Oryzias latipes: one gene and its partners. The protein of the gene in region 4 purifies or fractionates together with the protein of the main gene of each other region. This does not show direct contact. Links are inferred from orthologs where the notes say so. Each region holds a gene or a part of one and is shown on either strand. Other genes may lie near its edges.

Evidence for each region. Proteins that work in one complex are often made in the same cells at the same time.
Region 1: the proteins of eed (region 4) and PHD finger protein 1 purify together in Homo sapiens (affinity purification with mass spectrometry; 8 studies listed by BioGRID and IntAct, with this or other methods). This does not show direct contact. The link is inferred for Oryzias latipes from reciprocal best matches to the Homo sapiens genes EED and PHF1.
Region 2: the proteins of eed (region 4) and mtf2 purify together in Homo sapiens (affinity purification with mass spectrometry; 3 studies listed by BioGRID and IntAct, with this or other methods). This does not show direct contact. The link is inferred for Oryzias latipes from reciprocal best matches to the Homo sapiens genes EED and MTF2.
Region 3: the proteins of eed (region 4) and phf19 purify together in Homo sapiens (affinity purification with mass spectrometry; 8 studies listed by BioGRID and IntAct, counting the BioPlex papers as one, with this or other methods). This does not show direct contact. The link is inferred for Oryzias latipes from reciprocal best matches to the Homo sapiens genes EED and PHF19.

The regions. Positions count from the first base shown.
Region 1 is NC_019874.2:28,775,504-28,783,545, forward strand, and holds part of PHD finger protein 1, read left to right. Parts: intron 1-208; 5' UTR 209-209; coding exon 210-287; intron 288-370; coding exon 371-452; intron 453-608; coding exon 609-695; intron 696-3,768; coding exon 3,769-3,863; intron 3,864-4,103; coding exon 4,104-4,252; intron 4,253-4,918; coding exon 4,919-5,014; intron 5,015-8,042. UniProt on the Homo sapiens protein: Polycomb group (PcG) that specifically binds histone H3 trimethylated at 'Lys-36' (H3K36me3) and recruits the PRC2 complex. Involved in DNA damage response and is recruited at double-strand breaks (DSBs).
Region 2 is NC_019875.2:5,989,503-5,996,489, forward strand, and holds the end of mtf2 (metal-response element-binding transcription factor 2), read left to right. Parts: intron 1-891; coding exon 892-960; intron 961-2,164; coding exon 2,165-2,288; intron 2,289-2,449; coding exon 2,450-2,517; intron 2,518-3,515; coding exon 3,516-3,686; intron 3,687-3,854; coding exon 3,855-3,975; intron 3,976-4,063; coding exon 4,064-4,122; intron 4,123-4,957; coding exon 4,958-5,053; intron 5,054-5,141; coding exon 5,142-5,511; 3' UTR 5,512-6,656; downstream 6,657-6,987. UniProt on the Homo sapiens protein: Polycomb group (PcG) protein that specifically binds histone H3 trimethylated at 'Lys-36' (H3K36me3) and recruits the PRC2 complex, thus enhancing PRC2 H3K27me3 methylation activity.
Region 3 is NC_019867.2:31,495,043-31,501,862, reverse strand, and holds the end of phf19 (PHD finger protein 19), read right to left. Parts: intron 6,273-6,820; coding exon 6,159-6,272; intron 5,811-6,158; coding exon 5,719-5,810; intron 5,633-5,718; coding exon 5,484-5,632; intron 5,409-5,483; coding exon 5,313-5,408; intron 5,241-5,312; coding exon 5,051-5,240; intron 4,929-5,050; coding exon 4,861-4,928; intron 4,783-4,860; coding exon 4,642-4,782; intron 4,542-4,641; coding exon 4,481-4,541; intron 4,402-4,480; coding exon 4,316-4,401; intron 4,239-4,315; coding exon 4,149-4,238; intron 4,075-4,148; coding exon 3,753-4,074; 3' UTR 2,778-3,752; downstream 1-2,777. Other genes in the region: disabled homolog 2-interacting protein-like, read right to left, coding at 108-210, 592-710, 2,154-2,214.
Region 4 is NC_019860.2:2,257,289-2,266,001, forward strand, and holds the start of eed (polycomb protein EED), read right to left. Parts: upstream 5,577-8,713; 5' UTR 5,550-5,576; coding exon 5,427-5,549; intron 4,710-5,426; coding exon 4,557-4,709; intron 4,469-4,556; coding exon of another isoform or gene 4,463-4,468; coding exon 4,370-4,462; intron 3,896-4,369; coding exon 3,830-3,895; intron 2,712-3,829; coding exon 2,586-2,711; intron 2,514-2,585; coding exon 2,432-2,513; intron 2,328-2,431; coding exon 2,236-2,327; intron 748-2,235; coding exon 614-747; intron 550-613; coding exon 444-549; intron 363-443; coding exon 204-362; intron 126-203; coding exon 52-125; intron 1-51. Other genes in the region: periodic tryptophan protein 2 homolog, read right to left, coding at 7,024-7,177, 7,260-7,334. UniProt on the Homo sapiens protein: Polycomb group (PcG) protein. Component of the PRC2/EED-EZH2 complex, which methylates 'Lys-9' and 'Lys-27' of histone H3, leading to transcriptional repression of the affected target gene.

The DNA of each region.
Region 1 (8,042 bases), on a different chromosome or scaffold from region 4:
TACTCTCATCTCTCACTGTGGCGGATACAGCCTGTCGCCATGCTCATCCATTAAAAGAGGAGGATTTTTTTTGCCCCCTCCCACTTTTTTTTTCTTGCAATAAAGCCTCAGCGGGGGCCATAAATCCCCCTCCTTCGCTGTCAGCAAATAAATCAGATCTCAATTGCACATGAGCCCTGCTCTCCTTCTCCTCTGTGTCTCTCCTCAGGATGGGGGGAGTCAGTGAGGGAGATGATGTGTTGGCACGATGGAGTGATGGACTCCTGTACCTCGGAAACGTGAAAAGAGTAGGTGTTTGGAGGGGGGAGGGTGTGGGAGGAACATTTGGAAGAGTTTCCGCCACCCTGATAACCTGCTCTCTTGCTCTCAGGTGGATGGAGTCAAGCAGTGCTGTCTGGTGAGGTTTGAGGACAACTCTGAGTTCTGGGTGCTCAGGAAGGACATCCACTCCTGTAAGGAGAACTTCTTTTCTGTTTTTGTTGTTTTGTTTCTTCTATCAGAAAATGAATTTAAGAGTCTTTGGCGTTCGCACAGAGATCAGAGGAGCTTCTATAGCAAAAGTCTTGGACAGCTGTTAGCTGACGTCTCTCTTTCTCTGTTTGCTTCAGTCGCTGCCGGAGGGGAAGAAGTTTGCTGCGTTTGTGATGCCCCGCCTCTCAAAGAACCGCTCATAAATTGTCTTAAATGCCGCCACGGTAAGGAAAAGTTCCTCCTCAACTCTCATGGGTTCTCGCAGTGACCTTGAGGGTTAGTCACAGAGGGTGATGCAGAAAAGCTTTAACATTCTGAATCCGATCAGTTAAAAATGTTCAAGAATCAATGACAGATCTTTGGTTCTTTCCATTTCTATCAGACTCTAGATTTGAAGGGTCAAAACGAAATATCGGAGCAACTGGAGAACATGAAGATTAAGAACTAATTATTTCCAAATAAATTAAGTTGACAACAATTTTCTGTAAAAAAAAAAGGGTAGACATTATTTAAGAAACTATTAGACTGATCTGATCTGGATCTGTCAATCATCTCTTTCTAAGCATCTTGAGGCGGGACTTCTAAAGAGGTAACTGTTTTCTGCAAATGAAGCATAAAAAAGCAGAAAGCTGTTTCTCTTTGGAAGCATAAAATCTACTTTTAAATAAAAACAATAAAGTAAACAAAAAAACTTGCCTCTAAAACATGACAGTTTCATAGTCTGTGTTATGCTTAGCAGAGTTTTTAATTGCTGGTGCACACACACTATTGGTACAAACCTGAACAATCTTATTCAATTATCATGAAATTCACAACTTTTTCAAATAAAACTCAACATTTGGCTTTTTTTATGTGAACTTTGCATTGAAAACTGTAGCTTTTAACTTAAGTGACCAGCTCAACGGTCTGCTGGGAGTGTGTCCACCCTGAGATCGGGTACCGTGGGTTCGAATCATCGGTCAAGTAGAATCAAAAAATCCAAAATTTTAGAAAATGTGCCTTCCTGCTCAGAAAACGGACAGCAGCATAAAGTGTTGAACCAGGAGTTAAACCACTTTAAGGCTCTGAAGCTCACTTTCTGCTGTGAAGCTGATAGTCTTTTAGTGCATTTTTAGATTTATGACAACTATTGTCACATGATTTCTTTAAAAATTGTTTTGCCAAAATATGAATTTTTCTTTTACAAAATCAATATTACGATGAAATAAAGTCTCTTAATGTTCTAATGTTGCCTTTAATAAAAAGCTACAGTATGAATTAGGTATTTTAGGCAACAGTTGTTGTGTATATTCACATTCATTGTATTTTTTGTTGATTCTTGTCCAGGTACACAGGTTTTAAATATCAATGGGAATCCCCTTGTTAAATAAAAGTTATGGAATTTTTTTTATATATGTATATATAATAATCATATATATGCATATTTTGCTTCAACGTCGTTTTCTTATCTTTGAAGTAGATAAATAACTTTCTTAAATGTTGTATATTTGTAATAAATGTGGTGTAAAAGTCAATCTTTAGGTTTTCAGTTGTGCTGAACATCACGTTTTGTCCCACCGTGACCTTATTAGGATTTGGAGCCCCTAATTCCAGGTTGTCTTGTATTGAGGTAAATAAAGCAGGCCTTTGGAGGGTCAGTAGCCCCCCAGCAGGCTCTGTTGCCTGAAATTGATGTCCCTTCTATGCTGCTTAGGAGTATTATTCTTTATTTAAGAGATGCTGTAAGTAAGTGTGTTTTTGGCTGTTGGAGGACAATAGAAATGTTCTTCATCCTAAAAGACATTTACACCAGGCAGCTGTGAGTGCATTTGATATTTCTGAGATGTGAATGTTTTGTCTGTATGTCTTATTTCATGGGAGACTATCTATGTGATGCTGCCCCCCCCCCCCCCGCAAACGTTTCCCACACTGTAAAGGAGGTGCAGCAAGTTTTACAGTAACTTACTGGCACTAATATAAATAAGTAGGGCTGCACGGTGGCACAGTGGTTAGCGCTCTTCCCTTACAGCAAGAAGGCCCCAGGTTCAAATCCCCTGAACCAGAACACCAATGGGGGGACCTTTCTGTTTGGAGTTTGCATGTTCTCCCCGTGCACACGTGGGGTTTCTCTGTGGACGCCTCCCACCATCCAAAAACTTGGTTCATTGGTTACTCTAAATTGTCCTCAGGTGTGAATGTGAGTGTGCATGGTTGTGTGACTGTGGTTCTGCGACAGACTGGCAACCTGTCTGTCAGCTGCCCTTCACTCATTAGTGGCCAGGATAGGCTCCAGCAGCCCCGTGACCCTGAAAGGGGACAAAACAGTAAAATGAATCACAGCACACAGATTTACCATGAATTTTATTTTACAGTAGTACAACTGTAAAGTAATTCCTAGCATCCAGCTGGCAGTAGTTAATATAAATGTTCCAACAGTACAGTAATTCTAATGTGCTTCTGTTTACAATAATATTACCTGGTTTTCTTTTCCATTTTCTTTTTCTTTTTTTTCTTTTCCAGTTTATTTACTGTAAAAATACAAAACAAACTATATATATATATATATATATATATATTGTGTACATTGTGTACATTGTGTATATATATACACAATATATATATGATGTGGCCCACCCACCCAGCATATATTTACATTAGAAATTAGATCTTTTTGAAACGTTTTTTTTTTTGTCTGCTCCTGATTCACAACAATTTGAATAAATTTTGGATAAAAAAAAGGAAATGTGGTTTGTGTAATCTGTCAGTAATGATTCCAGTGTGGTTGGTGTCCTTGCATCATTAATGTTCTGAAAACAAAAACTCTAAATATTTTTGTTGAAGGCGAAACCTCAGCCAGCTGCAAATGTGCTCATCAGGTTGTAGGAATTGAGTGGGAAAGTGAAATAAAAGGAGCTGTGAATGTGCTCGTCTCCGCATAGGCATTGTTCTGCACGGTGAAGGTCACACACAAGCCGAGTAAAACACATCTTTGAGTGACGGGCCATTAAACCGCTAAGATAAAACGACATTTCTGAAGTGCAGGTGGAAGGAAGTTTTAAAAACACTCAGCAGCGGGATGCGCAGGCGGGAAAATGGAAACAAATGTTTCCATCCTCTGATCACGGATCTGTCAGGTGAACACAGTCTCTGCTTTGGAGGAGAAAAGGCAAATCTTTCCGCCATTTTCCGTGTGCAAATGGTAGAGTTGTGTGTTTTCTAAAACCTGCTGTCAAAGCACAAACAGCAGATCTGTCATTATCCTCCTCCTGGTTGACTGTCTAACCGAAATGAAGGCTCTGCCTCCTCTTGACGTTACAGGTTATCATCTGGAGTGCCACACGCCAACCATCGAGCCGGAAGCTGACAGCGATTCTTGGATATGTCGGCAGTGTGTCTTTGCAGTCGCAACCAAGGTCAGGTGGCCAATCACAGGAATAACTGGCAATGTAACATGGGAGAAATCAGGGTGATAATGGTCATTCGGTCATTTTAGACAGCAATGAAGCCCATAAACTGCCCCTGCAGCTCAGAGAATCACACTTCAGTGTTGGCCATCCCTTGTGCTTCAGTTATTTTGAAGTAATTTGTTTAGTTGTCGGTCTGCTTCCATCAAAGCTGACCCACAATAAATCAGCTGTGTCCTGTGTTGGCAGAGAGGCGGGGCCCTCAAGCGTGGACGCTTCGCCCGGCTCATGCAGTTCATGAAGCTGCGGCTCCCGTACCAGCTGTCGTCTCTGGACTGGGACCCGCAGCATCTGACCAACCAGCAGCAGTGTTACTGCTATTGTGCCGGACCCGGAGAGTGAGTGACCCTGCAAATGCCTCAGCAGCCCAGCACTTTGTCTGTCTTTATCCGACCCACTCCGATTAAAATCACATTGTTTTTTTTTTTGTTTTTTTAACATGTTCTAGTTCCATATTTCTTATGATGCAGGACAAGTATAAAGAAAATTCAGCTTAAAGCTGCATTTCTGAGTATTATTTTATGCAAATAGTTGTGAATTAGGAGTAGACATTAAAATACCGTTTGAAAAAATTGCATTTGTGATGTAGAAAATACGCTGGGCGGGTCACAAGCTCCCTGCTCCGCTCCATTCTGATGCCTCCACTTGCAGACAAGTAGATCCATGTACGTCTTTGTTTTCCTTTTCCGAGCCGGCATCTGGCTCTAAACTGTACAGCTGGATGCAGCTGTAATGTTAGGTCAGGGATGTGGGGGGCTGTAAGCCAGCGGAAGAATGTAAACCGATAGCTCGGTTGGGTGACAGGAAGGGCAACTTTGAGGCAAATTTTTCTAATGAACTACTCTGCGATCTGCAGAAACAATGTCCTTGAAAACAACCGTTTTTTGATTTTGGTTAAAAACGGTATTACGGGAATGCTTCTGCAATAGATCACAAGATGATTGTTGTGGGTCTTTAATGCTTTTACTCATCGTTGTTTGACGTGCTGCTTCACATCTCTGCAGGTGGAACCTGAAAATGGTGCAGTGTGGCAGCTGTGGTCAGTGGTTCCATGAGGCGTGCACACAGTGCCTAACCAAGCCGCTGCTGTACGGGGACAGGTGAGGTCCTGAGGGTTTTCAGGCTGGTGCAGCGTTGAATATGTACATTTACATTAATCCTGAAGTTTACTTTGTGTCTTTTAAGTTTAATCTAAGTATTTACTACATTGCTGTGGGACCTTTAGAGCAGATCTTAGGCAAACTATCACATCATTTCATAAAACTCTGGTCAAAAGAAACTCAGAAGAAAACGCAGAGTTTTTAAAAATCTGTTTCAGCTGAAAAGAATTAAGACAAATACTAATATATATGTATATAGAGAGATACAGATATATAGACAGAAATGTTGCAATTTATACATGAAATGCAAAGTGTTGAAAGGAACTGAATGAAGTTTTCAGAACTTAAAAACCATCTAAAATATGTTAATTGGTTCTAAAAGTGCAAAGCCTGATGGGTAAAAATAATGAACAACTTTTCTTAAAACACTAATTCAAAGGCTGCAGCTGCTAAATTTACATCAAACGTCTTCAAATCAGGTGAAGAAAGTGTCAGAGAATTGAAAAGAAACTGAATTATTCTCAACTAAAACTACAAATGCCACAACGGATGTTAAATTGGATGCTTTAAATGCTAAAACAACTGTCAGATGATAAAAATAAAAAGCTGCCGGCTGTATTAGCTGAAACGACAGACAGAAAAAAGCGGTAAAAGCTAAAAAAAAGTTACTAATTAATTTAAATAATCTAAGCGAAACAAAAATAAATAACTCTTAAACCCTTAAAATGACTGCAAACATTGTCCAAATCTCCTTTTTAAACTATAAATTGACTAAAGACCAAGGCAATGCAAAACAAGTGCTTTAGATTTAATGCTAAATGTTATGTGAATGTCAAAAGAAGAATACTTGAAAGCATGAAAATTGGCCTTGCTGACCTGCACACTCTGTCCGGTTCCAGGTATCCCTCTAGAACTCCTAAAAATGCAAATAAAAGCGAGAAAAAAAAAGTCATCAAATTTGATGCAGAGTCAGGTAAAAAGCTCGAGAACTCAGATATATCTGATGAATTAACTGAGTTTTGGTTTGGTCTGAACACAATTGAGATTGTATTGTCGGCATGACAGCTCAGCCTGTCAGGGAGTTTTCTTAATTAGCTCAGGATGAGATAATTAGCGCGCAGGTTGATGTTCTCAGTGACTCGTGCCGCTCGTCTCCTTCCTCTGAGAAAAAGACAGGAACCGGGGAGGGTCTATTAGCTCTCTGTGGGGGGATCATGGCATGATGGCTGGATACAAGATGAGCTGCATCCCGCGCACATAATAAAACGCATCCATCCATCAAGTCATTATTGTCTTTAACTATCTGTGCTGGCTGAGCGAGTTTAACGCCCAACACCGTGTTGCTGCCCAAGCTGTGTAAAGGGGAAGAAGAAAAGGAGGGATTACATTTTAGATTGACAGTCCGAGAGAGTGAGGAAGAGTGAGGAGCCAGCTCACACTTGGAATAGTAAGCATGTGTTGCCATCTCACCGAGTGTGCTCTTCATCTTTCCCGGTGACCTTCATGCAAATAAAACGACAGACGTAAACAGTGTTGTGGTGTGAGCTGAGCTTCAGGGTCACTCTGAGCGGAATGTTAATGTGCTGAAAACCACAAAAGCCTCTGTTTACCTCCACCTCAGCTTGATTTATGGGATCAAAAATTGAGACAAAAGACCCGGGGAAATGCCCAGAATCCCCTTTTCCTTGTTGGAGTAGCAGCACATTTTAAAACATGAGGGTTCAATGAAAAGTCTGGAAAATGGAAGCATCACATTTTTAAACCACAGTCCCTTCAAAGACCTGGTTTGAGGAGGAACTTGTTTATGCTTTTAGCAGTCACCAGGTGACCACACCTCCGCTGCTTCGCCTTTAACCCAGCTGTTGTTGTGCAGGAGAAAAAACTGATGGTAAATCTGGTGTTCACATCAAAAAGTCGTCACATGAGGTTTGTAGATTACATGAGAGCACATGTAAAAATTCCTATCTTTTAGGACAGTTGAAGGTAAGCAAAAGTAATTTAAACTCTCACTCTGGACTAATATCACCAGCTGTGATTTGCTTTTGATGGGCCAAAGTTTAGACATAATTTGATCTGGGTTTACCAGAAGTTTGCCAGGTCAACTCAAAGTGAGTTAGTCATTTATTATATGTTCTCATAGAAACGGCATCCTGATTAATTAGAGACACTATTGAAACTCTATTTTTTAATTTAATTTACATTTTTTTAACTTGTCCTGCCCAACAGATGAGAGCTGAGAGCCTCTTGTGTTAGACATATTTTACTGTTACATCATGGGGTTATGAATCTTTTGACACACTAGGTTGTGTATTTGAATTAACCCCTTTTGTAATTTGGGCCAAACTTTATTCATCTTCATTATATTTGTAAAAAGTTTTGGTTGGACCGGACGAAAAAGGAAAGGAGGGAAGAAGAGAGAGGGATGTTGCCTCTTACCACACGCACAACAATGGTACATTCCATTTTTGTGACGTCCCATGAAGTTGCGGTACGAGCCTCAACCTGCGCTCCCTTTAAGATGCAGCCGCTCCTCTGCGTCCCTCCACCGATGCGGAAACCCCAAAAGCCGCAGCACAGGTCAACCCTCGCACTGGTGCATGTGACCAATGCTTCAGACTTCCAACTCTATCAAAGCAACATGTTTGTCGTGATGTACATTTCATTTCCAGTTGAGTTCCATTTGAAAATAGATTTTTAAAGTTATGTGACAGATGGACAAAAACAAGTGTAAATGGTTACTTAAAGTTATATTTAAATCGTCCGCAAAACCCATTTTTATGACCTCCTTTCATTTAAACTTAAGCTTTCAAATGGACACACCAACATGTCCCTTTTAAATGTTAAAATAGAAACTTCAGCGTTTTCAAGTCCTGACAAAAAAAAAACCCAAATTATTACCTCTCCACCACCATGCTTGACAACTGGTTGGGGGTATTTGTCATATGTTTGTTTGCTTAAACAACTAAATATGCAGATAGCCCTGTCCTGTTATTTTTAGACTGGCTTTCTGCTCTCAACCCCTCCAAAC
Region 2 (6,987 bases), on a different chromosome or scaffold from region 4:
CTTCAGACTTTCTATTGAACAGTCTCTTTCCAACTACTACACTGTGCAAAGCAATCCGTCTCTAATCAGCTTCCTAGCTCTGCACTGTGCACCAACATGTGACTACTCGCCTAGCATGCTGGGTATTCATGCATGCTGGGTAATACAGTTCTTTATAACTAACGTCAATATACAACAACTTGATATTCATATACAGTACAGACCAAAAGTTTGGACACACCTTCTCATTCAAAGAGTTTTCTTTATTTTTATGACTATGAAAATTGTAGAGTCACACAGTAGGCATCAAAACTATGAATGAACACATGTGGAATAATATACAAAAGAAAAAAGTGTGAAACAACTGAAAATATGTCATATTGTAGGTTCTTCATAGTAGCCACCTTTTGCTTTGATTACTGCTTTGCACACTCCAAGCATTCTCTCTTCTTCTTCTACTCACAGGAATATTTTCTTTTGTGTACATTTTTTCATATGCAAATGTTAATTTTGTCTTTTTAACCCTTGTGCTATCTTGTGGGGTCCAAATGACCCCACCCTTACATTGACATGTTCTCGCTACCATGACAAAGGTGGATAAAGGTGGAAAGATTTCATGTAATCCATGGACACCAGTGAAGATCACAAATCATTGAAGAAAAAAGGTTCAGCCTGGTGGGGTCCAGATGACCCAACTCCCAATGTTAAAGTCCCTCGGAGGTCATCTGGACCCCACAAGACAGCACAAGGGGTTTTAATGAAGCATGTACTAGTTAACCAAAGCAGTCTGTTGACATGCCACATAAAAACATTTGAACTGTTTTTTTTTAATAAAGAAAACTTGACTTTTTTTAGAAAACATTTTCATGCCAACTACCGTAATGCTGTTTGTTTGGTTCTTTTTCCCTCCAGGTTTTATTTGTTCATCTGTTCAGTCTGCAACGGTGGACCAGAGTTTGTGAGCCGGCTGCCGCTCAGCTGGTGAGTTTGTCCGGAAGCCGTCACGCGTCCTCATTGAGGGAGGGGGTGTTCGTCCTCAAACTCTGCAGTAACAAATCTGTCTGCATGTTTTTAGTTGCTGGGATTAAAAACACTGATTTCCTTTTGGGAGCACTTAACTCCGCCCACCTCCACGACCTTATTGACCCCTTTTCTTGGTTTCAGATTTACTTGGAAAGTGCGGCATTGATTCGTCACATCCATCCATCGGTTGTCTTTTGAACAACGGATTCTAATATTTTCAGAATAAAATTGCCTATTCTGTTTAAAATGTGGGATTTTCATAAAGTTCCATCATTATTCGGTTAAACCTGGCAGTTAGAAGAGCATTGAAATCAAATCACCATCTCAGTCTTTTGCCCAGTAATCAGTTATCCCGCCTAAAATGAATGCCAGCATACAGCGACGCAAACTCTGATTCTGCAAACCCCGTCCTGTCTTGCAGATCTTTTGTAGGCTGTTGCTAGGCAACATGAATTGGAACTCCCTCCACGGTTCCTCTTTTGGACTGAAGTCCAGAGACTGGCTAGAACTCTCCAGAACCTTGAGATGCTTTCTATGTAGCCGCTCCTTCACTGCCCGGGCCGTGTGTTTGGGGTTATTTCCTGCTGGAAGACCCAGACAGGCTTCATCCTCCATGACCTCATTCAGTCTTTCCTTAACCCGGGTCAGTCATCTGGCCCACTTAGCATGAAACAAAAGAGCATGGTACCCTAAAGTCTTTCCCTGGTGTTCTCTGACAGCTCTTTGGTCTTGGTCATGGTGGAGGGTTACACTCTGACTGGTTTAGGCTGTGGACAGGCGTCTGATTCTGATAAGGAGTTTGAACAGGTGACATTGATGCAGGTAAACAGTGGAGGATAGAAGAGCTTCTCACAGAAGAAGAAACAGAATTAAGATAAATACTTCTGTTCTGCTTTATTATACAAATAAGTTCATTAAAAATCAATCAGTTTTATTTCTTTTTTTACATTTTAAGAGTGGGAGCGTTTCTGTGATTGACATTTCAGACCAAACTCATCCTTTGAGGGAAAACCTGCAGAGTCTGTGACTGTTGTGATTTGATTTTTTTCTGTTTCTGTGGTAAACTCTGATAATCAGCCATATTAAGGCAGTTTCCCTGAGTTTCTTCAATAATGTAGTTGTAATTTAATTTGTAATAGAAGTTTCTATGGAAATGTTTCAGGAAGGATGTGGCTCACCTGAGTTTGTACAACATGAGTGTGATTCACAAGAAGAAGTACTTTGACTCTGAAAATCACTTGTTGGAGTACATCAACGACAACTGGGAGCTGCTGCAGCCGGGAGAGGTGAGGCTTTATTCTGCACGGAGCTTTTCATAGCAGAAAGATGCTAAAGTAGGATTGGCTGCATGTTAGAGAGCAGATTTTACACATATATGAAAGAACTGCTGCTTATAAGCCAGATGGTTAACCCGGATGTTTGCTAAAATCCTGTTTTTGTCTCACAGCTCGCCGATACGCCGATCGCCGAACGCTGTGAGAATGTTCTGAAGGCTTTAAACAGCAACAGCTGCATGTAAGTCCTTCAGTTCCGGTGGGGTCGTGGTGGGTTCCTGGTTGGGTCTTGGTCCTGGTTGGGTCCCGGTTGGGTCCGGGTCCTGGTTGGGTACGGTGGGGTCCTTGTGGGGTCCTGGTTGAGTCCTAGTTGGTCCAGGTCCCCGTTGGGTCCGGGTCCGGGTTGGGTCCGGGTCCCGGTGGGGTCCTTGTGGGGTCCTGTTTGTGTCCGGGTCCCGGTGGGGACCTTGTGGGCTCCGGGTTGGGTCCGGGTCCTTGTGGGGTCCTGGTTGGGTCCGGGTTGGGTCCGGGTCCTTGTGGGGTCCTGGTTGGGTCCGGGTCCCGGTGGGGGTCCTTGTGGGGTCCTGGTTGGGTCCGGGTCCCGGTTGGGTCGGTGGTCCTGGTGGGGTCCTAGTTGAGTCCCAGTTGGGTCTGGGTCCCGGTGGGGTCCTGGTCCCGTGTGTGAGCCTGTTTGTGTGTTTTTCTCAGCACTGAACCAGAACACAAAATGAGCTCCACAAGTGAAGATTAGATGTTCCTTGGAGGAAAATCCGTCCCTCTTTGTCCCATCAGTGCTCATGTTGGTGCATAAATGGATGCAGGTTGTTTCCGTCAGAAGGATCCCGTTTAGAGTCACCATTTAACCTATGAAGCATTTTTTTGGACTTTGGGAGAAAACCCAACCCATGCTCGAGGAGAACATGCAGACCTCACAGAAAGGACCCAGCTGGGATTTGAACCAGGAGTTCACTGTGAGGTGGGAGTGTTGACCACTACACCACTGTGCAGGCCATTGAGCTGATTCCTGTTGAACAGTTCTGGCTCACAATCCTGGGTTTGCTGTTTATTATCTGTTCTTTTGAACTTTGCAGTATCTCAGCCGTGGGATCAATGACAGATCGATCGATTGATTGATTGATTGCACTTCACAGACCTCGGTTGAGCAGACGGGGTAGGGGGCTGGCTGTGTTTAGGCGCTCCCCCTTTTACGCCTTACTTTGTCTCACATTTCTGATCTAGATTCAAGTCTGGAAAAGAAGTGAAAAAGAAGAAGCACTTGTTCAGCCTGCGGGTGTGTTTCCCGCCCTCCCCCCCCCACAGCAACGAGCCAGCGAACGGACTGATGGACAAGACTTCACATGAGATCGCCGTGAAGGGCTGCAAGCCCACCACCACCCTGTCAGGAATGGGGTAAGATGCGGCGCCCCTCTGAGGCTCTGCAGGGAACTGCAGGCAGCCGGGAGCGCCTGCTTTGGTGCAGTCAGATGGAAGGCAGGACGGATTCGTCCCTCATCGACCTGTTGATGAGAATCATTTAGAGCAGAATAGTGCTTAAACTCTGTACTGCTGTCACTTCAGAAGTCTCGGTACTTTAACCAACGGCACCAAAACGAAGAAGACGAAGAAGAAGAGGAAGAGGAAGCAGGGAGCGTCCTTCCTGGAGACTCCATCCCAACGCTTCAGTGAGCGCCTGAGCCAGGTGTATAAGCATGCCGCTGGATTGATTGGTGCCGAGACGAGTTGACTGGTTCACCTGCCTGTTTAACCCTTTCACTGCACTTTGACAGGAAACCAGAGGCCCCCTCCCCCTGGAGCCCCACCCTTTGCAGCAGTTCCCCTCCGTCAGGTAAGGATCTGCACGAAGGCAGTCAGGACTGTGCTGAACGCTGCGTTCACCGCGGGCACGGAAACGTGCGTGTGAGCGACCAGCTCAATGAAAAGATCACGGAAACGCACATTTGAGGCATTTCCAAACTCTCGTTCACGCATCGCCACGCTGGTTTTCACGACAAAACTTTTCTAGGGAGACCCGAAAGTCATCATGGCAAGACGAAAATACAGTTAAAACATGCATAGAAATAAAAAATGAACAATATAACAACGCTGCGACTGACTGGAGACCTGTCCAGGGTGTCCCCTGCCTTCATCCGTAAGTGGCCGGGATAGGCTCCAGCAGCCCCGTGACCCCGAAAGGGACTAAATGGAAGAAGATGAATGGATGAATATAACGATGATAAACAGTTCATCTGAAACAGCTGCAGTTCCACATTTATTTGCAGGACTACAAAGAAAGTCACTGCATTGTTTCAAGAAGCTCCATTTTCTAGATGCAAACAGGTCTCAGAAATAGCAATTATTTTTTGCCTCTAGTTGCTTTGCCCCGCCCTCATATTTCCTGACCAATGACAGAAGAGATCTTTGGTCACATGGTTTTGTTCGAAAGCTTTTGTCTGGAACAGGAAAGTCTGCTTGATACGGACCAAACGCAGGGATCTGGACCAAACGAAGCGGACCGGGTCCAGACCAAACGGTCTTCCTAGTCTGAATACGTCCGTACAGAGTAGAAATGAAAACTTTGTTCCTGCTCTTGATTTGTTGGTGTGCTTTGTACTTCCAAACTACCTTATTGTAGCGTTTTACATTTTATTAAGTGTTTTTTTTAATGGTGTGTTTATCATCAGAAAAAGTCAGCTTTCATCCCAAACCTTGGAAGTGGAGTCCATTGGAGACCTCAGCGTGTCGGAAACTACCTCAACCAGCATTTCCAGGCAGTCCAGGTACGTGTGGTGCAGCGCTCTGCGTTTCCTCAGCTGTTGGCGAGCTCATCGCGCACCGCGTTGACGCACACCTGCTTCTGTCACGCAGCCTCTGCAGCTCCCTGATGCACAGACCGGCCTATGGCATGCCTGCGTCTTCTCCTCCTCTAAAACGGAAACGTGGGCGGCCACGGCGAGCTCTGCAGCCTCCCCACCCGGAGATCCCCCCTCCCGGCCCCGCAGACGCCAACCCCCCAGCCTCGGAGAGGCTCCATCTTCCCGGGCTCCACTCCTCCAACATAGTCCACGGACTGGATCCCGACAGTCAGCTGTCCCACCTCAGGAGCTCCATCAGCAGCTACTTTGGAGCAGCAGGACGGCTGGCTTGTGGGGAAAAGTACAAAGTGATCGCCCGACGGGTCACCTTCGATGGAAAGGTGCAGTATTTGGTGGAGTGGGAAGGAGTCACCGCCTCCTAGTCCGTTCATGAAGCTGGACTTGTTCACGGAACGGAAGGACGCCGCTGCTGATGGCGTTCAGACGGCGTTCGTGGTCTCGTCTTTCTGAAAAGCCCACAGATGAACGTTCCTCCTGTGAGGAACCGGAGCGCTTTCGGTGACCTGTCAGTCACATGGATGCTGGTCCGGACCAAAAGCAGTCTGCTGCCCGTTGATCCGTTTCAGAGGGGAGTTTAGGTTTTGCACTCTTCCTCTCATAAACGGATGAAGCCCCCAAACTCAGAGAAATCCTGTCCTCCCTCTCAGGTCTGTCAGCTTTTTTCCAGAGGGAACCTTGCATGACCTCAGAGTTCTGCTGCAGATGTTGTTTTAGACTCCTCTATTATGACTGACTTATGCATATCAGCCTCTTTTTTTGGTTTTGGACCCCGTTCTTTGACTGTTTCTCAGCCTTCAGACATTTCATTTCCTCCCAGACGTTTTTCTACCAACTATTTAGATTGAAATGGAATAACGTCTGACTTTAAGGAACCAAAATGTCATTTTATTTAGTCAAACCAAACCATAGTCCCGTACCCTCTGGTCACAGTTTCTTCTGCACATTTGACTCCGTGGTGGTGAGGTGTTTGCCAGCAGAAGGACTGAACAGCAGTATTTTCGGGTGATGCTGGGACAGGTGACGGACCGTCGGACCGCTCAGGTGTGCTCCTGTTCTCACAGGAAGTCGCATTGATCCAATCGCTCAGGATAAGTCCCGGTGAGACTGCAGGCTTTGCAGAATGTTTTGGAAACGTAGTTTCGGGGCGGAGTTTAGCATCCTTTTGTAAGTTTTGTATAACCTTAGCGTTTATAAGCTTTATGATTTGTCTTTTAAAGTAAGCTGACGTGTCAGAAAACCACTGGAAAGGTTCTGCTGGTGGTCACTTCTAAACTCATTGAGTTATTTTTTTAAAGGGATGTTTTGTTGATGAGCAGACGCTCTGGTTCTGACCCGTCAGTGCGCTGGTTCTGTTCCCGCTCGTCCTGCTTCTATCAGGCTTTTGGAGCCAAAGAACACGAGACGTCTTTGCGGTTTTCTCCGTACATTTTTATGCCTTTTTTTTTTGGAAGAAGACGTCACGTGTGAAGCTGTTTTGTTGAAGGTGAATAAAAGTGGATATTTTTAACTTTTTGTGTTTTGGTTTGATTCCTTCATAAAGCAAACAGCAGACAAACCTTTCACTTCAGAATCAGAGCTGCTGTTATTTTCAGGTAGTATTTAATTCAGCTTTTAATCAGATCTCATGTGGGATCTAGAATTTTTACTCTTATATCTTCTATAATATTTTATCATATATTAACCTGTTTAATGCTTCTTAGTCAAGTTGTTCTTTTTTTCTGGAAATGACTGGAGGTCCCCCAGAGGAACTGGAGGAGGTGGGAATTCTTGGGATCTTTGCATCGACTCCCCTCTCAACCCAGTCATGAATGAGCAGATAAAGATGGAGGGGGAACTCT
Region 3 (6,820 bases), on a different chromosome or scaffold from region 4:
GTCTGCATCCATGGTGCGTCCAAATGTCCCCGTCTGTCTAAATGTCTGCCTGTCCGTCCAGCTCTGGGGCTACACGACCTCTGGAGGTCTGAACTACTTTTCCTCACCTTTGTGGGCGGGACGATGCGGGGCTGAGGTCACATGCAGGGTGTATCGCAGCAACCACACTGTGCAAGTCTCCGCCCTCTCAGCAAGCAGCAAAGGATGAACCTGAAGAAGAGGATGAAGAGTGGGCTCAGACCCTGAAGGAGGAGATCCGCTCTGATGGGGGCATCAGCTTCAAAAGACAGGGCATTGATTCACTTTTTTTAGGAGACACTTTGGTGACTTTCTTCTGGTTTGATGTACAACCCCCCCCCCCCCCCCCCAAAAGATCAGGTGATAGTTCTACTGCCACCCAGAAGCTCCAGGATCTGAATTCCAGCCTCTCACTTCTGTTCCCATTTTCAAGGCTAATGTGAGGAATCTGCATGTAAACCAAAGTTCCTTTTTTTTGGAAGTGGATCCTAAAGATTCAACCCATCTTCCCGAAGGATCCGCTCACACAGCAGCCCCGCATAGCGGCACAGATGCCTCTGTGTGCGCTCACACCTCCAGGTCGTCCAGCATCAGCAGCTGGGAGTTGGTCAGGATGCAGAACATCTTGGTCCAAATGTCAGGCTCCGCCTTCCGTCCGCAGGACAGCCAATGGATGGAGGCGCTCTTCAACTCTGTGACATTGGAGCATCACAGCTGTGTGATCCGACACATCAAACTTTGTCATTGTAATGTGATAAAAACAAAGAAGCACATCAGAAAAGATTGAATACAAAAGTATTTGTGGGTTCGTTTCATGGTGACCATGACCCTCTGCCCTGATCCTAACCCTCCTTAACAACTAACTAAACTAACCGACTTAACTACCTTACTAAACAAAACAACTGACTAATGAAACAAACTTTTCAGAAAACAACTTACTTAACTAAACAAAAAACTATCTTTCTGACTAACCATTTAGGTAGCTAACCAGATAGATAACTATCCAAACTTTTATAACTAACCCACTAACTTAGGCTAACTTACTAAATATCTAAACAACTAAAAGTAAGCAAAGTAACCAAGTAATTTCAAATTGTAACTTATCAACTACTTACTAATCTAACTAACTAACCATGTCAAACTAACTAAACTTACTGAACAAACACGTAACCTTGCTGAATAAACTAACTAAACATGCTAACTAAACTACACAACTAACTAAACAAATAAGTAAATATCCTGCTTAATAATTACCCAACTACCGTAAGTAACTAACCAAACTAACTTAACCGTGTTGTTCACGTCTGCAAAGAACTTTGGCTCAGATGTTTTAAAATGCTCACATTAATAAAGCTGGATTGAATGCTTCTAACAGGCTTTTATTTTGAAAGCTTTTCAGTGATTTGTTATTCCATGCTGAGCCCAATAATTGACTTTAAATTCTGTGGTTCCTCTGGGTCTAAAGTGATTCCCGAGTTCTGTGACCCGTCACAGTTCTGACAGAACTTCAGAATTCTGAAGCCACTTCCTCTGTTCTTCTACTAAATCCAAAGCTTTCAAAATGAGATCCAGTGGAAAACGTCCGACCACCACGCAATATTTTATGACAACAGAACGTTTGGCTTTCATCCACATGAGCTCATTTCCAAAGCATCTCAGAAACGTTGGATAAGAGCACGGTTACCATGGTTACTATGGAGCAGCATCTCCTTTTCTTTTGAAGCGCTTTGATTTGGAAATCCGCGTTTTGAATTTTGGTGTTGGAATAAAGGTCTCCAGCTGGTGGTGCTCATCTTTGACCTGTCCAGGATGAGCCCTGCCTTTGCTCAACGGTGGCTGGGCTCCGGCAAAGTACAATTGATGGATGGACGAACAGATGGATGGATGGACAGACGATACCATCAAAACAACACCTCTCTTTTCCAAGCACAGGCTTTGCCATAGAAACATGACGCCAGGCCTGAGCGACAAAACACTGTTGAAGGAACTGACGTTTTGTAACCATGGCGACACGTCTTCAGCCCCAAACTCCTCCGTGAGACGATGAGTACAACGGGCCAAGTTCTGACAGGCCATCTCCGCATGAAAAGAATCAGAAATCGGAGGATTCTTCTCTCCTCCCCTAGTTGCCTTACCAATCACATTCATCCAGCCCAGGTGCTGACACCTGGACAGGTGTTTAACCAGCTGCTCCATGAGGACAGGACGTCCTGATGCCGACACACCTGAGGTGGAGACACAAAGCCACACCTGTGGGCACAGCAGGAGCGGTGAAAAGACAGGGGGCAGGACAACAGAACAGGGCAGCACACACGCCTGACATGTCGCAGATGACGGACGATCACGCCACCGTCATCCGTGACATGCCGGAAACACACTCGCGCATTCTGCCGACCCGAACCCGGACGGCTGGTGACTCACGGCGGATGGAAACTGCGTCCCGGCTGCGGGGGTCTCACATTCTCTGTAGGCCCCGTCTGTCTGCGCAGACCCTCCGTGTGGCAGGAGCACACATGAACTGACTCTTCTTCATGTGCTGTTTAACACCTTAATGGGATTAACAGATTATCACCTGTTGCACTCTCACTGACTCACACTCACACACACACACACATACTTGTCATGCACTTTCCAGGACCTGCACCCCCCGGGCTCCTGAAGGTCCGACCTGGACCCTAAAAGTGGGTCCAGATCCTCTGAGGTCTTCAGTCTGGCCGACACCAGACTGACTCATTCTCACAGAAACACAAACACAGAGGTCAAAGGTCAGATTTTTTGTTTTTTTTAATTCCAAAACGCTGGCTGGTCAGCTGCTCGTACAAGAGATAAACATGCAGTCATGTGATCACAACAACCATTCAAACAGGCCAATGGGAGAAGAGCATGGTTACCATGGCAGCGGGAGGAGCTGCAGCATTAAAGTGACACGGTGAACGTTTAAGTCTCAGAGACTGTTAGCACTGTTAGCACTTCTCATTCAGAACAAAGGGCTGCGTTAGCTTGGAGCTAAGCTTCTGGTGTTTGCATAGATAATGGATGTGTGTGCAGTGCAGGAGGCTGGGGGGGGGTCACACAGTGGAACCGGCTGGCTTGCTGGGCGGGAACCCGCCGAACCAAACCCAGACGGGTTCCGGTCCGAACCCTGAACCCTGACGCCGCAGACAAACAATGGGCTCTCTGTTCAAACGTGACAGAACTGAACCGAGAGGTCCAGAACTGGAGGGAGAACGGGGGGGGGGGGGGGGGGGCTCAGTTTGCTGTTTGACAGCTTAGGGTAAGGGGGGGTGCAACACTAGCTACAGTAAAAGCAACAGTTTAACAGGCCGCTAACGGAAAACGACCGAACTTCAGTTCCCGATAACACTAACACCGTCAACAGGAAGACGCACGCTTGGCCTCCGACTGCTTCTTTGGCTGAACGATGACGGAGGCTTCCACTAAATACTGTTTTCACGGTTCCAGAGCAGCTTTGATGCCGTCTTCATCCACACCAGCCTGAGAGCCACACGGGAATGCAGGTGTGTGTGTGTGTTTGTGTGTGCTAGCTCCTGATATTTCTGCAGCAAAACTTCTCTAAGTTCAGGTTTGCCGGACTTTCAGTTGGATCAATAGAAAGACAGACAGGCTGCTGGCACAGATACACCTGTCACCCCTGAGATGATTGACAGGCAGCTGAGCAGGGCTGGCGGGGATGCGGAGGAACCAAAGGCTCTACGAGGTGAGGGGGTCAAGTCCTAAAAGGGTGTAGTTCCCTCCCACTCCAGAAGGTACTGGACCATCCCCTGAGGAGTGACACGGCGAGCCAGCACCTGGTACCTCTCCCCACTGCTCAGTCTGCCAAAGTACGAGGAGATGGAGGAATGAAGGAGGGAGGAGTCTGACGCGATGTGGGCGGGGTCAGACAGAAAGTGCGGCAGCTCCGTGTTCAGGCGAGCGTCAGGAGCAGCAGCTCGCTCCTCGGCTGTCTCGGCGGGCTCCTCGTCCACCTCACTGCGATTGGCCCACTGGCTGTAGCTGTTGCTAGGTAACTTTCTCTTCTTGCTGCCCACTCTGCTCCTGAGAACAGGGAGAGCAGGTCAGTCAGGGGCTTCCTCCATCAGGTCTGAGAGCTTTGATGGAAAGCGTCTTACTTGAGGCGGTAGGAGGCACTGGTGGTGGCAGAACCCGAGGTGGACGCGTCGGTAGAATCCTGGTCGATGCTGACGGTTCTGTTGGAGCTGCTGGAGAAGAACGGAAGCAATCGCACGGGATCTGCACCTCAGGGGTCACCCATCACCTGTCCTTCTACTCAACTCACCTCTTCAGGCTCTGGAGTTCATCTAAAGTGAAGTCAAAGATGTTGGCCATGTGGTGGTTGGAGGTCCAGCTGCAGGACAACTCGTTCTGCAGAAGGTCAGGGGGGAACAGCGACACTCAAGCACAAAGACTCTCCTTTAAGGGTTTAGAGAAAGAGGCGGCTTACATTAGGGATAGCATCCTCCAGAAGCCACTTGGATTTTCTCCTCTTCCTTTCAGCTGAACTACTGAAGCAAAAACACAAAAACACAAAGATGGATTTCCACGACCCCCAAGCATCCCAAAAACGATTCCAGGTAGCTTGAAAGTTAAAAAAAAAAAATCTACCTGACCGAGGTCGTCTTCCGGCCCCGCCCCCCGTCATGCAGAGCATGCTCGGGTAAGAGTTTGGAGGGGGGGTTGGGCGGGACTCGGGTCCTCAAACGAAAGATGCACTTCCTCTTCTTGATTTCTTTCCCACATAGGAACCTGAGGACACGCATGTAGATACTTACTGGATCGGCAGACGCACAGATGAACTGTCAGGAAGGCGGGGTCGGTACTTACTTGCTCTTGTAGTTATTGAGAGCATCCAGCAGGTGCTGCCCCCTGTCTGCAGGAGGAGTGTTAGACAGCTGAAGAAATAAGAAGAGAGCTGACAACCAACACCACAACTCAAAGCAGGATCACATCAGAATCAGAATCAGAATCAGATTCTGGTTCAGCTCAGCGTCTCTTCGGTTCCTCTGCTGTTTACCTTTCCGAGCTGCAAGTGGTCCCAGTTGGTCGATACGAAGGCCAGAATCTCATCAAGCTCAAAGTACTTCTTCTTGCTGCTGACTGACAGGTTGTAGAGAACCAGGTGAACCACATCCACCCACCTGAGGGGCAAACGGCGGATGTACTCGCAGCCCTTGTTACACACCGCACACAGGAAGAGGTAGAACCTGGAAGGACAGCAGACCCTTAGCATGAACACAGAGGAGGACGGAGCAGGGGGGGGGGGCAGGAAGGATCACCTGTCTCCAAACATCATGGACTCCTGAAGACACTGAGTACAGGCCTCGTGGAACCACTGCTGACACCTGAAACACTGCAGCATCTTCAGGTACCACCTGCACACGCACACACGTCAGTCAGACAACACCTGGCACTCACAACACGCCGGTCTCTCGGGCGGTCGGCCTTACTCTCCAGGGCCTCCGCAGTAACAGTAACACTGCTGCTGATTGGTCCGATGCTGAGAGTCCCAGTCCAAGGAATCCAGCTTGTAGGACAGGACCTGCTTCATGGCACACAGAGCTTTGGCTATCGGCCCCTTCTTCAGAGCGCCCCCTTTCTGCGAGGACGACAGGGAACGGGTCAGGGACAACGGAGAGGGGGATTGTGGGAACATGCTGATGCAGCACTGGGAAGAGGCGTTACCCGAACAGCCAGAGCAAAGACGCAACGTCTGCAGAACCAAGGGCTCAGGCTGCTGCCCTCTACTGGAGGAATGTGACACAGCTGGTGGAAGCCTGGCAAACACAGAGACAGGCGATTTTATGACCAGGTTAACTGGATCAACATGGGATCATGTGATACTACTCCCCAAAGTGAAGCCAACACAAGACGTTTCTCAAATGACTACCAGGTCTATTAAAGCAAGCAATTTCCCACTGACTCCCATGTCAGCATGAATGATGTGAAGCAGGTAAACCAGAGCATCGCCTCCTTCAGGTGTGTTCACCTGCACAGACTCGCACTGATGTTGTGGGCTGGCGCAGAGACCTACACTAACTTTAGGATTTGGCGAGAGCGCCCACCGAACACGTCGCCCCCTTCTACAGATGTGAAGGTGTGAACTCAGACAACGCCATGCTCACCGATGCCGCACTTCCCACAAATCAGGATTTGGTTGTTGACCTTAGGCTGGCCGTCAGAGTCTGGCTCCGCCCTGCGACACACAGAGCAGCGAGGCTCCTCCCCTGGCACTCCAGCTGAAACGTGATCAGGCAGAAGCACGTGACATAACAACTCAGGGCATCACACATGTCAGCATGAAGGATCTTCTCCTGTCTGTGACTGATTAAAAACGGAAAGAGAAGCTCCACGAGGAACTTGATGTTTCCTTGGCAACCATCTTCTAGGACACCTGAAAACGACTGACGTCCTCACACCCTGCTGGAGCAGAGATTCATTTGAAAGCTTAAACAGTGTGTATCGATTACAGAAATATTCAAACTGATGGCTGCTCCAGCAACAGACAGTTAAGTGAGCGTTCAGGAATGCTTCAACAGTTGATGTCAGGACTGAAAGCTAGTTCCATCTGAACTAAAGTACGGTGGCCCTGAAGTCGACGAATCGCGTCATCCAATCCACGCAAACACATTTTAAAGATCGCAACCACAATTAAAAAGAAAATAATAATAATTTTAACTGTGTTACATTTTGAAAATCTAAACATAATTTCAGAAACCAAAACACAAATAAAAAACAAAAACAAAAGGAAGCATTCAAAATGACTTTTACTGGTATGTTTGTTTAA
Region 4 (8,713 bases):
AACACAGAACCTCCACTTTTTTTTTGTATTTAATCTAAAACCGTGACTCACTTGGCCTTGTGCGGGTCTTCCACCTCCAGGTCCCAGACGTACAGCTTCCCCACCTGGTTCCCCAGAGCCAGCATCTGGACGGGCACACAAGAACGCCGTCATTCTATGCAGACGACGCTGAGCTAACCTTCGTGAAAAGTTCTTAGACTGACCTTCTGCCAGAAGTCCATGGAGAAGCGCATGTACCAAATGTCACACTGGCTGTAATCGAAGCGGCCCAGAATGGTCACGTTGGACTCGTTGGGCTTGATGTGGTCGATGTCGTCCTCCATCTTCCCCGGTTTCCAGCAGACAATAGCGTTTTCGCAGGACTGCAAGAAAAAAAAAAAGGTATTTTCAAACTATTTTTTGGACAATATTAGGTGAACAGAACCAGCAGTTTGGACCGTAACCTTGGACAGAATGAGGTCTCCCAACCACCGGACACAGTCCACGTAGTTCCTGTGGATGTCGCGGGTGGAGAAATCCGGGAAGTGGATCTTCTGGGAGACAAAAGGCCTGTGGGCGGGATTTGTTTTAGCTGGGACCAAAGCATCTCGGCGACGATGAAGAGGAGCGTCACCTGTTGGTCTTTGAAGGGTTGTACTCGTAGGAACCCCGGATGGCCTTCTGGAGCCTCTCCGAGTTGATTCTCCAGAGCTTTAGCGAGTGGTCCATCCCGCAGGACATGATCTTCTCACCCAGAAGGTCAAAATCCTGCAGAAAAGGGGGCACTTTTTCACTTCCAAAGCAGACTGATCTCCTTTTAATCCGATTAACGGTTCTGAAAGTTCTAAAATCATAATCCGGATCCAGACACAAAGGTCTACTAATCTCAGATAATTGCCTTTTTTTGGCGAGAAGCTACTTTCCCACGCTTTGGACTGTGAGCTCTTATCACGTTAAACCCGGTGACACGTCTAAGTCTTGGAAAAGTTCTATGGACCATTTTAAGACTGCGAGGGAGAACTCAGTAGAAGCTAATGTCATGCTAACTCCCGTAAGTTTTCATTCATTTTTTTAAGACGTAAAATAGGTGTTCCACAGGGCTCTATGCGCTGACCCCTGCTTATATGATTTGTTCGCTCTCTTTGCTTTGATTTTCACAGTTTTTAATGCTCAGTCACAGGGTGAGAGGTTTTCTAGTGCCAATAGGTGGTGGAACAGCAAGTCTGTTCATTTCTATGCAGATGATGCGAAACTAACATGATGTTAGAACCTAGAAATAAATATGAATACAGTTTTATCAATTGCGGGTCCTTAGGAATGACCCTTTATGCTAGTTTCTAATTTATGTAACAATGAGGAGTCTCCCTGTGCCGGTCCACAGCCTGGATAAAATCCAGGGTCGTGTCTGGAAGCCCGTCTGGAAATCTCTGCCAAAACTACCTGTGCAAAGAGGTGATTCGCTGTGGCGACCACTAAGAGGAGCCGCCAAAAGATGAGTTACAACCACCAGCTAATAACAAGCAAGTCTCAGAGACTCATAAGCTAACTCTCCATGCTTACTTCCATATGTTTTTAATGGTTAATGCAAGTTGGACTTTGTCTATCGTGGTGTACCACAGGGATCTAAGCTCTGCCCTTTTACTTTTTAGGATATGTATATTATCGATTGCTCTCGTTCATTTTATTTTTAGTTTTTAACGGTCATTTACTGCACGAGGTGGTGCCGTAACCAACAGTCAAAACAGGCGCAGGCGAGGCTTGCTAGCACAAATGGGAAGCACAGAAAAAAAATGTCATTTGTTTTTTTGCAGATGATACTCAGCTAAATATGTTTAAATCCATAAACAACATATAAAAAAGCGCTAATCACAACTCAGATTAGTCATGAGCTAATTCACCATGTTTAGTCCTATAAGTAGTGCTTAATGCCATTTGGAATGTATACATCATGGTGTACCACAGGGATCTAAGCTCTGCCTTTTACTTTTTAGGATTTGTATTTTGCTGCGATTGCTCTGGTTTCATTTTTACAGTTTTTAACGCTCCTTTACATGGGGTACTGCTGCATGAGGTAGCGCTGTAACAAACAGTCACACAAAGGGCGGGGCTTGCTAGTGCTAATAGGAGACAGAGCAAAAATTGCATTTATTTCTAAACAGATTATGTTTGACAAAACTATAACATAAATATCCCAGAACAGTTTTTATTTTCCCTTTGCTGCTTTCTTCTGGGAGTTTTTAAAACAGCAAAGCTTACGGCGCTCAGGACTTCATCTCGATGCCCCTCCACGCCTCCAAAGATCGCCACCAACGTGTCGGTCTGGATGTTCCACAGCCGGAGAGCGTGATCTGCAGAGATAGAGACCCGCCCGTTGGCATCAAGGACCCCAAGGATCCTTCATCAAAGACTCAGAAGGGGTTTGGTTCAATAAACTCCTGACGAACCGTCTTACCTTTACTGACAGACAGAAGGAGGTTGGGGTCCCTCGGGTGAAACTTGAGCTCGTTGATGGCGTTCCCGTGGCCCACGTAATGCTGTCAACCAACAGAACCTCTGAAATCCTCCATCCAAAACACCTGTTAAGCGGTCGTAACGGGCGGGTTTACCTTGATGCACTGCATTGTGATGTGGTTGATCACTCTGATGATGCCTCGGGAGCCGGCGACGGCCAAGAGGGGGTGGCTGGTGTTGGTGTCGTAGGTCCAAGCGCACGTGTAGAAGTTCTCGTCCGCCTCGGGAGCGCGTTAGTCAAGGAAAACCGATAGCAACGTTGCAATTCCAATGAAAGTTTCTGGAGCTGGGAGGTGCTTACAGTTTAGGATGGGATTGCAGAGTCTGTGTGGTCCGATTAGGGCGATACACCCCGACAACAGATAAAAAATGACTCAGCAATTTAGTTAATTAACTCAATAGTTTTATGAAACTTTAACATGGAAATATTATAAATTAGTTATTAATTATGTATTAGTTTTATTTAAAAACATGCCCATGGTATTTCATCCGGTTAATTCATGTAATTATCTGTTATTAATACTTTACTAACACGTAACAGTGGCTAACTTCGGTAACAGTAAGACCGCCACAACCTTTCTTGTAGTTTTATGTCAGTGGAGGACGCTTCCATGCCCTGTGGTCCATGAGTGCTATGACATCACAATGGACGACTTTAACTCATTAATGTTCTCTAATTTTAGTTGTGGTTCTTGTGTAGGTAACGAAAGACATTTGTCAGGAATAAAAAACGACACAACTACACAACCCAGAATGCGTAGAAAGGGCAGGAAGAAGGCGATTGGTCAAAGGTGTTGATGGGATGTTTTTCTAGTCAATTGTGTGGTTATCCATGTGCACTTTGTCTATTTAATGTGCACGTATCACTCCGTCAGGCTCCTGACTACACTACCCATAATGCCCAACAATCCTAGTTCCCCAAAGTGGAACTAAAGCATTGACCGACTACAGAAAATAGGCTCTAGATCAGTAAACACAGCAAGAATTCATATTTAGGATGAACCAGACACCAGGGGGCACTGTCGCGTTAAAAAACAAGAACATCAAGCGCATCTGCTGGTCCCAAAAGAAAGTGACAAAAGTTGCTTTTCTACAGATAAATATTCAATTTTAAGGTACGAGCTTCCGTAATTGAATTGGCTGGTCATCTTGCTGACATTGATGCTGCATGTGATCATCTTCCTCCATGCTTGTTTGCCACATTTGACATAAAATAGTCCCGCAAAGCTTCAAAGTGTGTCGTAAACGACAATGCTTCATATAAAAACAGCAACACGCACCCCGACCAGCTCCGGAGCCCACCAAGGACTAGTTTGTACCGCAGAAGGTGGAAGGATACGTCCGCATCAACGTAGGACTGTAGGAGTCGGATCTCTCCCTGAGAGTGACACTCGTACAGAGTCACCTGCACAAAAACAAACAAACAACTTTAGGGTCCCGAAAAACTGATCAAGCTTTGGCATAACATTCAAACAAAACTGTAATGATTATTTGCTATATTATATAAGACATCACTAGCTGCCTTTCCATTTACTATGAAATTGCACAAACTGGATTTGAGAAAGTACATTTTTTCATTGGACGATGATTTCGTCTTCAGAACAATCGTAAAACGTTCATCCTTATTTGTTTTTTACTTGAGGAAATAGGTGACGTCGTACTTAATAATTTTTTTTAATAAGTAGCTAGCAAGTGTTCGGATTTCGTTAAAATCCAAGGCACTGGACAGTCCTGCACTATATAATTTTTTGTTAATTGTTCGGACATGGACTCGGTTCAGTTCTAATATACGGTCAATTTTACGATCTTTGGATTCAAAATGCTAGCACAGATTTGCGTGATTAAAACAAACATTGGATCAACATGAGGGAGAAATTACCCTGTTACTCCCAACGGTGGCAAACACAAGTGGGTCTCCTTCCTTGCTGTGCCAGTTGAACTGGACGCCAAACAGCGGCTGTCCGTGATCCTCCTGAACCTCGGTCAGAGGAAAATCGCCATTTTATTGTCAGTTCGTTTTTTAAAGCGTTGCAAACGTCGGATTGGCCAGCAGGGGGTGGACTCACCTTCAGACTGTTGACACATTTAAAGGAGTACCGACACTTCTTTGACTTCCACTTGCCCTTGCCCCAGCTCTTCTTGCCCGGGGCGTTGGTTGTGTTGGTGGGCGTGTCCGGGCGCTCCGCGTTCGTCCCGCTTTCCACGCTAACGGCATCGTCCTGTACACGCAATGTCAGGGTTTTTTTTGTTCAGAAACATACAAGTCCTCAAACAAATCCATTCCATCATGCATTTCACTTTTCATAATAAAAGCACAATATTTGAAAATTTTCAAAATAAAAGCTGCAAAACGAAATTGAAAATTTTCCATCTTTCACAGTTTGTTTCAAAATTTCCGTTGCTCTTCTCAAATTTACAGGTAATTGTATTGATTTAAAGTTCTAAATACATGTAAATAGGACACAATATGCAACAAAAATACAAGCAATATAAAATAATTTTCGCTTTAGCCTTTTAGTTACGTTGAGGACTTCAAATCTAACTAAAAAATTAGGACAACGGTTTGTGTGAGCCTTATTTGAAGACGAAATCACTTAGGTTTACTTGAAGAAATCTTTTTTTTTTATAAAATGGCCGAAAAACACTAGGATGCTCGTGCTAAGGCAAGCTAGCTACAAAATTAATTTCAAAGTAAAGCATGTTCGTGTCCAAAGCTGAAATGTACGTAACCTTTTAGTTTTGTTTGTTGTTTTTGTGACCATGAAGCTGCTTTTTGTAATCAACGGAGTTTCACATCTACAGGTGTTTAACCAAAACGGACAAAGATGCTAGCTTTAGCTGCTAATTTAGCAGGAAGCTAACGTGAACGGCGCGATTAAACATTCGTCGTTTTTAAAAAAAAACCACACACACACAGTCCGGTACCGGCTGCTCACATTCTCGTCTCCCGATAAGTCGGGGTTGCTGTTTTCGTCACTGCTTAGTTTTTGCTTTTTCGCCGCCGGTGTTTCTTTCGCCGCTTGCGACGGGGACTCGGACATGCTCTTATTTTCCCTCATTTTTCGGCACAGGGTCCCGCCTCTTCCGGTGCGCTGCCGCAAGGGCTGCTGGGAATGGGGGTTTTTAATGGACCTTCCCGTCAATAAGCGGGAAACAAAGAAAAAGAAATGTAATTTTTCCTGTGATTTATCAATGTTATGGTTACATTTGTGTTCAAAAAAATGTTTTTTAAAATGACGTAATTTACACGACGTGAATGAGCTAAATAAAAGTTGGCTGGCATTTTGATGACAAAAACTTATAAATTTTGGAAAGAAAAAAAACACAATATTGAGCATTTGACAGAAATTTATTTACGCACTTATCACTTCTTTTCCTTGAAAGACCCACTCTGATAAAAATGTTGTTCTCAACATGTTTTTGTAGGATTTTTCTGATAATGTAGTAGTCAAAAAGGAAATTAAATATAGTTTAAAATAGCATTTGAGTATTTCTTTATTCAAATAGTGAATCGGGAGCTCACGAAAAACTGCCATTTGACAAAGTTTGTAGTAGTGACAGAAAATATAAAGACAGCAAAGCATGCAATTGCGCATAGCCTTCGCACATGTTCAATGATGAAAATGTTGGTTTATTAAAAACATACATTTAAACTGTTTTTCGCAAAAAAAATTAAATGCAATGTTTATATTTGCCAATCTAGTGAATATTGATCTACACTGGTTTTTCGCAGACTTCTGGCAGATTTCTAGGGCACTCGATTTGGGAATTGTACATCCGGACAGTACAAACGGCAGCGAACGCACTATGTAGTGCACTAAGTCGTGAATAGCGAAGGAATTTGTACACAGCCTTAAATTTCAATTCGGAACAAAGCACAGTGGACTTACCAGTCATTTGTGAGCCAAGTCTAATGACTTTGAGTCGATGTCACAGCTTTGTCAAAGGTATGAGGTGGCTAAAATCCCCTAAACAGAGGAAATGCGAAAACTTCAATGCAACGGATAGGTCGGATCGTGTAGTCACAGTCCAATGCCTGTAGCACAGAATAATAAACTGCATAAATAGATTTGCAGAAGGGCCTAAATAATGTCCTGTGACATAGAGAGCTCCACTAGCTCTGCTGGACCCTGGGCATCGGAGGTCACTACTCTGTCCGGTAGCGTAGCTGGCTTGATTGCTCCAGTCAAACCAGATATTTTTTTCCATCCACTGATAGAGTCACTGAAAACATCACGTACCCAAAGCTGGGTCCCTGATTGGTTAACGTGCCGCATAATGGCACTAACATGGAGATTTTAAAAGGCAGTGAGCTAGCCGCTCTCCCAGAAACTATGTCCTAGAAAACGACTAGCTAAAAACAGCAGACTTTTCACTAAAAAAACCATTAAGAACATGTTAAAATAGTTTAAAAAATGATCGGAGAAGCAAAACCAAACTTTTTAACACCACATATATACATTTATTTTTAAAAGAGGTACAAAACAAGATTCTATTATTATAAAATGTTGCTTCTAAGAGACTTTCAAGCGGCTAAAGCCTCATGTCATCGTCATCCAAAGAGGCTTGGCTCATCTCCTCTGACGGTCCTTCATCTTCCTCGTCCTCCTGTGCCGCTGGCCTCTTCATCCCTCTCTGTTTGGACAAGGCAGCAGCGTAGCGGATGCTGTACATGTTGAAGTCGCACCTGGAAGGAGAATCGACACTTAAAAAAAAAAGGGGGGCCATCATAGTTTTGAATGAGGCTGTGAAGCTGAAGAGAGACTTACAGTTTGGACAGATTGTCAAAGTGCCTCTGAATGCTCTTCTGCAGTGACTGCAGCGTGGCCAGAATGGAGCCCGACCTGCAAACCAAACAGAAAATGTATCTTGATAATTGAACTTTTCTACCGAGTTATATTTCTACATCGGTTAAGTTTAAATGATTCAGATCAAAGGTTTTAATCAATTCGTTTTTTATTTTTTTAAATCAAGCAACTTTGTTGTCCTGTAGCATCAGTGGTGTAGAACCCGTGTTCTTGACCATAACCCGTTGACGCTGGAGTTGTCGCCGGCGACACATACTTAACACGCAATTCAAGCTATGTACACACACCAGCCATGTGTGAAGAACGCGCTGACCTGTGGGTAACTGTTGGTACTACACATTAGTCACTACCAAATCTGAGTCCTGTAGAGCCCAAAAACAGACGCATGAACGCAACAGTTTTGAATTTGGAAGCCCAAAACGTGCATTTATATAGACTTTTTATTGGAAGCGGTTCCTGGAATGCGTGTTTTGAAGTCCGGTGTGAACGTCGCATTAGACCTCCCGCGACACACAGCCACTATATACATTTTGCGAATTTTCCAAGGATAAAATTTGAGTGTTTCGTGATATGCCGAATTCGTAATTTTTTCTTGCCTTTGTCATTTGTCGATGTGCTCAGATGTCCGTTGAGGGTTTTTGCTGACAGGTCTGTCCGTGAATTTGGTTTAAAGCTGTTCAGAATTTTTGGCCAGTTGAGAAATACGCAGTTATGGCGTATTTTACGTAGTTTACATGCAACTTTTATGTAAAACTTAGGCTATTGTGCGTGATTTTTGTGAGACGCATATGAAAATTCGTGGCTATCTACAACGGACTTTTTACGTGTGTACCACCGATGTATAGCTTTTATATCGCATTTATGGCGCATGTATGAACAAAAATTAGGTACTTGATGCACAAATCACTAATGAGTTGCATATAAACAGCACATTAATCATGCACGGTTCATGTTCTACACTGATGTGCTCTTAGCGTGGTTTATTCATACTTCTTTTGTAGTTTTAATGTGGTTCATTCGTGATACATCTGTGAAAATTTCACGGATAGACCAAAACTCACTTTTTCCACCTATAACGACTTTTCATCCATACAATATGCGCAAAACATACGTACGTCGTAGCTGTGTGACACGGCCTTCACTCTTCAACCATTTCCGCAATCAACGTAAATCGGCTAACTAAGAGAAAAGCTGCTTTTCTTTTTGTAATAAAACCGTAAAAAAAACGTTGAAGAGTTACAACAGATGAAAGAATGTGATGCTAAAGCTTCGCCGTTAAAAGAACATTGAAGGATCTTTGTTTCGCTTGTGGGTCCCACAGACGTTCAGATATGATGGCGTAAGGATTACAGACCATGACCTTGTCAACTAGCAATCGTAAGGTTGCTAATGTGACCTTCGTCTATACTGCGTCA